2 linked regions of the Danio rerio genome follow. The protein of the gene in region 2 interacts with the protein of the main gene of each other region in a pairwise test. Links are inferred from orthologs where the notes say so. Each region holds a gene or a part of one and is shown on either strand. Other genes may lie near its edges.

Evidence for each region. The genes of interacting proteins can lie anywhere in the genome.
Region 1: the proteins of atxn1a (region 2) and dctn3 interact in binary tests that used the Homo sapiens proteins (3 or more experiments, as listed by UniProt). The link is inferred for Danio rerio from reciprocal best matches to the Homo sapiens genes ATXN1 and DCTN3.

What each region holds. Positions count from the first base shown.
Region 1 is NC_133191.1:5,363,041-5,366,337, forward strand, and holds the end of dctn3 (dynactin subunit 3), read right to left. Parts: intron 1,394-3,297; coding exon 1,334-1,393; intron 1,198-1,333; coding exon 1,111-1,197; 3' UTR 591-1,110; downstream 1-590. UniProt on the Homo sapiens protein: Part of the dynactin complex that activates the molecular motor dynein for ultra-processive transport along microtubules. Together with dynein may be involved in spindle assembly and cytokinesis.
Region 2 is NC_133194.1:34,917,302-34,920,962, reverse strand, and holds part of atxn1a (ataxin-1a), read right to left. Parts: intron 2,435-3,661; 5' UTR 2,123-2,434; coding exon 338-2,122; intron 1-337. UniProt on the Homo sapiens protein: Chromatin-binding factor that repress Notch signaling in the absence of Notch intracellular domain by acting as a CBF1 corepressor. Binds to the HEY promoter and might assist, along with NCOR2, RBPJ-mediated repression. Binds RNA in vitro.

The sequences.
Region 1 (3,297 bases), on a different chromosome or scaffold from region 2:
GCATGTTAGTTTAACCGTTGCAAACATTACTCAAATCTTGATTAAGTGGTTTGAGATAGGTAGAAAAATTAATTTTAATGACATATTTAATGCAACGCTAATATTTAATGTTCAGTGCATTACATCATCGTCCATTTACTTATGTATTTATTTTGTGTTTTAAAATTAAATCTTATATTATTATACAAAGCAGATACCGTATACATTTGGTGAAAAATATTCATTAACAATTAATAAAAAAATATCTTATGTATATGAATAAAAATTTAATTTATTTTGCACAGGATTGCATGTTATTTAAGTCGATGCAAACATTCTTCAAATCTTAAAAGGCAGTGATCGTCGATTTTTTTATGTATTTATTTAGTGTTTTAAATAAAATCTTAAAATATTATTGACAAAACAGAAACCATATGCATCTGGTAAAAAATATTAATTTAAAAAAAAATATATATATATAATATATATATATTAGTAAAATAAAGATTTATTTACACATGACTGCATGTTATTTAAATATGTAAAAACCTGTCATGTAAATAAAATGTCACATAGTTCTGTAAAAATAAATAAATACAAATACAACCCAATTATATAGTACAGTCGAACTTTTATTTCATTGCTTAAGGTATTTTTAGGAGAAACTTTGCAGTGTAGCCATCTTCATACACACATCATAATAGCTGGACTAAATAAATAGAGCAAAAATGAGTCAGATTCAACCTGACGTCATCAAAACATCTAAAATCTGCATTTGTTTTATTTCAGTTTTATGAAGCATTTCCAACTGCAGCTGTATATTGAGTAGGATCTGCCCAATCAGATTCAGCCTGATGTCATACAAATGCGGCTGGTCCAAAGCAGAAGCAGATGGTCAGATTTTGATTAAAGATTACCAAAACAAAATAATTCAATGGATTAATTTGCACGGATTCATTGTTCACCTTAAGACTGACAATGTGGTGGCAACAAAATAAACAATGCAAATTTTGATTTAATGCGGACTTTAAACACATTACCAATGCATGTTTGGGAATGACAGTGCTGTTTTATTCATCAGTAATAAGTAAACGCGTCAGTAGAGTGAAAGACATCATAATCATTATGGTCCTAATCAATCTGCTGGACTTGTTTGGGTCCTTCCAGCGTTCGTAGAGTTTCATCCCACTGTGAAAACTGTTTGGACAGAAGAAACATCTGTGAAAGGGTTAAGGAGAATCGTGTCAAAAGTATTCAGATGCTCAAAAAGAGCTTATTGTGTTGGCGATTTTAGCTGCAGGCAACACGTGGTAATAACAAAGTCACTCTTATGTTTCACGGCAAGTAAGGATACCATTTTATTGTACTCTTCAAAGAGTCTTTTGACTTCAGCAGACAAGTCTTCATTCTGGTCCTGTAGATGTCAGTTGGGGATAAAACATTTGATTATATGGGAAGATGTACCAGCAGGGTTTTCATTTAGTTGATTTAATAATCATTAGACAGCATTTAAAGGGATAGTTCACTCAATACTGAAAATGTACTCACTATTTTCTCTCCCTCAAGTGTTTTCTTTTTTCTGCTGAACTCAATAGAAGACATTTTGAAAAAAGCTGAAAACCTGTAACCACAGACATCCATAGTAGGAAAAAAACTATGAAAGTCAATGGTTACAGGTTTCTTCAGTATAGGGGAATTACCAACCTATGTCACACTGGTTCAATCGCGCATACCAGTTGCAAGAAGAGGCCAGTTGCAATAGTAAACATGTTGTTTTGTGCGGTAGGATGCCAAATTTGAAAGTCTAGAAACTTTAATTTTAGCGTACACCACACTGCTTTTAATGCCAACCACAGACGTCTTTGGCTAACAGCCATCGTATGAGCTGAATGGAGCAAGCACCTAATTAAAATTGCTCGACTTGTAGATCTTTAACTTCTCTTATGTAAAATCACTTAGAGTTTTAATCAGATAGTTGTATATTTGGGGCTGGATGCTTGGCCATTTCATTTATCCAATATTCATTGGGAGGGTGCTATCGCAAATGGACCCGTCAGATGAACGCTGCTCACTTTATTCTTAATTTTGCAGAATAACTTGTCATGATCACCAGCGATCTAACCACCAGAGGTCGCTGGTAAACACTACCTTTCACATAAACAACAAATCCACCATATTATGAACTACATATTCAGTCATGCAGCACACACACACACCTGCTCCAAGTCTCCTCTGATTACACTCTTACAGCTGATGCTGCTCAATGAATGACCACACACATATATTCGGCTCACTTCGAGACACTCAGGGCTGAGTCTTGTCTACTGTTTTGGTGACACTACAACGTATTTTCCTTTGTCTTGTTTTCCTCACCTTGCTTAATCCTGATTGCTGCCTGCCTTTTGACCAGCTGCCTGTTACAACTCTGGATTGCCCTTATACATGTGTTTGCCCCTTTATTGACCACTGCTTGCACTGAATTGCCACTGTGTATAAAATGTGCTATATAAATAAACTTGCCTTGCCTTGCTTTGACCTCGCTAATAAAACCCTGCATTTGGATCCTCACCCCTGTTGTCAGTGTCACATCCCTGATTACTTTACGAGAGTGTAATCAGAGGAGACTTGGAGCAGGTGTGTGTGTGTTGCATGGCGGAATATGTAGTCCATAACATGGTGGATTTGTAGTTCATGTGAACGGTAGTGGTAAACAGTGACCTCTGGTGGTTAGATCGCTGGTGATCATGACAGAACTGTGCTTATCACTGGGTGACAAACTGTTATAATACGCTTAAAGCATTATGTAAATAATATATATAATATGTAATCAATAAAACTTTTCTCTAATCGAACAATAAACTCTGTACTGCATCGGATGTCATTCCCTCGCTGTAATTGCTAGCACTCCCGGTTTTCTTCTGCAGCCGCGACGCGCAGGCCTCCTGAATGTTTACAAACCGGTAATTCGTCAATATCTTTTGTGTTCAGAACAGAAGAAAGAAACCCAAGTAAAGCGAAAGTAAAATGATGATCATTTTATTTTTTTGGGGGAACTGTCCCTTTAAGAGTATGTTCATGTCATAAGTAAACATTTCACTTTGAAATTTCAAAAGTTATAATTCCTATAATCAGTGTATTTTTTACAAAGAGAGAAAATAAGTATTGAACAGGTCATGTTTTTTTCCTGGGAATAATGTTTCTAAAGGAGCTGTTGACCTGGAATTGAACCAGATTTAGATAAAAAACCAAACAATACAAACATAAAAAAATTTAATTCTGAAATAAAATGAGTCATGTGTAATAACAATGAAAAGACAC
Region 2 (3,661 bases):
ATAAACATTAAAAAAACTCGTTAAAAATGCTAATTTCAGAGATGGCAAGAAACAAACGGAAGTTATGGTTCATAAAGATTGGCAATATATAATATATGGAGGACAATATAATTGCTGTACACACACCTAAAACTTAGGCAAAGGTCAACTCCATTAGATTTTTTTTTTAATAATAAACCCTTTACTACCACGTGCAGACATGGTACACAGTGTTTGATTAATATCACATAGTCATCAATCTCAAGTTTATTTCCCCGCTTATCTTTGTGCATAAGAAAAACAGATACTCAGATGTGTCTACAAGCAGCAATGTTAAATAGAAAACTTATGAACCCACCTGTGAGCGTTGCGCTCCTACAGCAAACTGTATTATAGCAAAGTTAGCTGTATGACTGCTGTCGATGCGCTCTACAGTGCTGGAATCAATCTTCAGCTCGTTGCTAATCTCAGCACTCTGAATGAAATCCTCTGTTTTCAGGTCTTCCACCCGCTTCAGTTCCCCATCTGCCAATTGGATGATGGAGCCCTTGGTGAAGTAGGGTGGCATTGAAGGAGCTGAGGGTGGGGGTGGAGTTGTCAGCAGGCCAGCAGGTGCTGGAACCACAGGCAAATGCAACTGGGCTTGAACCATAGCTGTGGCAGGGTGGGGGTATGGAGCCGGAGATTCAAAAGTTTCCACTTTGGGGGCTGTTGAGGTGACGAAAGCATGGGGCAGTGCAGCAGTTGATGTAGCGGTAGCTTCAGTTCCACTTACTGGGATGATGACCGGCTGAGTTCCAGGGATGACCAAGTGCTGGGGTAAGGTGGTGTGGTAGCTGAGAGGCTGCTGGTGCCCTGTGCCGGCAAAGTAACCAATGATAGGCTGCTGGGTGGAGTAGAAATTAGTGGAGGGGAGGCTTAGAGAGAGTGACTCTGTGCTGTTAAGTGTGGTCTGAATGACTGCATGAGGAGACTGCGCTGGAACTGCTCCCTTAAGATTGTCCACAGGTGGAGGGGGAAGAGCAAATGAAAGGGAGGAAGATAAGGAGGAACTGCGGGAGACAGGTTTGCCAGCACAAATCCCTCCTTTTTCATGGTGGGATGTCGAGGGAGGCAGCTTGTCTGATGCACCTCCAGAATCAGCACTAGTGGAGCTATGATTATTAGGTACCAGCACCAATGAGGTCCTCATGGCTGTGCTGTCCTGCGTGTACTCGGCAGGTAGCACAACATGTCGAGCTTCAAAGTGACGTGGGCTCTGCTGCTGGTGGATCTGGTGCTGCTGGGCAGAGGAACCCCCTTTGGCAGTGCTGCCCTGCTTCCCTGCACTGGACTCAGAAGATGGACCAAAACGTCTGTCCTTCTCCAGCTCTCCATTCAGCAACTCCCTGGTCCTCATCTCCTCCCTCTTGGGTAAAAGACTTTCTGTGTATGGGACTAAGACCTGTGAAGGGCCACTAAGGGGAAGTGTGTGGTGAGGATGTAAATGTAGGGGCAAGTGTGTATGCGGTGACGAAACAGTTCGAGGGGATATGCTTAGTGGAGAACCAGCAATTTGAACATATTGAGTGGAGTGAGGTGAAGAGGTGTTGTCAGTTGTGACCAGGCCTTGAGGACGGCCCAATTGGTGGTGCTGATCAATTTTGGATGCTGGAGAACTGGAGGAGCTGGCATAAATCTCACGTTGTGTGGTAGTGGTGGCAGCTAAAGGGGGAGCTAGTGGAGAGATGTAGCCAGCGTATGGTGCAGAGTAAGGAGGGTTGATGAAGTGTATATTGTGAGGGAGGGGTGTGTACTGGATTGCGCTAGGAGAATGGGAGAGAGGTGATGTGTACACTGCAGGTATGGTGGTCACTGCAGATAGAGCTCTGGTTGAGTGTGTGGACGAGGAAGGTGTGCTCTCAGCCGTGGCTGACAATGGTTTATATTGAGGCCCATCTGATTCTGCAGACGTGCTGGTGTGCAGCCGGCCTTTGTCATGCCCACTGGCCAGACTGGCAAGCCAAGCCAGGTTCCCTCCACGCTGGCTCTCATTGGCAGGCGCCATCACCATGGGCTTCTCCTCTGAGGGCAGAGTGCTTGCTGGGATTTCACGCTTCTTTGGGGGCAGGCATTCATTGCTCCGCTCCTGGTTTGACTTCATGGTGTCTGAAAATCTTGAACCACTCTTTCCGGATTTTTCTTTCCCCTTTTTTGGCTCTTTTCCTCTCCCTCCTGGTCTCCGTTTGTCTTGCTAACAGAGTGTGCCCTCCTACTGATTGGCTTGGAGCGAGTATGGGAATGGGGTAGAGAGGAGAGTGGTGGTGAGAGGGGATGTGTCCTGTGCCTATGGTCGGATTGACACAGATTTCAGTCTTAAGCAATTGAAGTCACACCTGCTGCGGGAGAGCGGTCCATGCAATTCATGTGGAATCATTTCCTTCCGAGAGAGAGTCTCCAGGACTGCAGGAAGAACCTGAAATATAATAAAGAAACATAATCAGGTTTAATGCACAAACATAATTTCAGCAGCTTTTAGATGATAAAGCCATGTAAACTGAAGAAAATGAGAAACCAAAAAATGAAGGCTGTAAATATTTTGTGCATCAGGATTTATTTCTATGCCACAGTGGTGCTGAATGGACAAATAGCTTGCAGTCGTTTACAGAGGACTATCTTAACAGCAGCTCAACAAATATTTATTGTAAAATAACATGCCTCAACAAACTGATAAATGCATAAGTATATTAGGAAAGTTAGAACTGTCTCTCTATATTGGATGTTAAGTTAAAAATTGTCCATCAAATAAGAAAGCTAGCACAGTTTCTTTTTCCTCTTCCTCCTACTCTAGATTGTATGGGGAGACACGTGACAAAACAATGATGCTGTGCAGTGTTACGGCTTGTTTGACATTCCTCCCTGAGCTCTATTGATTGGACCCATTCAGCTGCGTCTGTTGTCCAGCACTAGTGGGAGGATGGTTTTGCATGATAAACAGGCCCAGATGATTTAACAAGTGTCGCAGTGCTATAAAAGAGGAGGCAGATACCGATGTAAGCGAAACCCTCCCTTTAATTTGGACACTACTAAAAATAGCATAAAGTACCACCAAACAGTACTACCTAATTTTTTGGACATGTACCATGGTACTGAGACTTATGCAAGTATCTTTGTATTACTATATGATGCCAAGACTGTACTACAACTGTTTGGACATGTTAAAACAATGCTTCTTTAGACATGGTACTATTATAATATTCTTTGAAGTAGCGTATGTACCACAAGGAAATAATATATATATACTAACACTAAAAGGAAATACTAATACATAGTAGAGGTTGTGTTTAGGTTCACAAAGGTAATACCATCTCTTAAAGTAGACACAGCAGTCCTTAGCTGAATACAAACAGCAGGAGAATGTCCTCTGTGTTTGCTCTTAAGTCAAAGTAGAGTAGAATGGTTACACAACGACTGAACATCAGTGATTGACGGCTATTGATGCTGAGCAGGGTGTTTATTCTCAGCACTCTCTCAATCAGTGTTTCCTGCTTCTTTTTCCACTTTTCACCCCTACTATCTTATTCCTTCCCTTTGGCTCATATATCTTTTCATCTCTCTATGCACCAACCCCCAACCTCTCTTCTAAGTATTTTCCTTTTGCCATAATTTGCATCAGACAAGGGCAATCAAGCATGTTAATAAC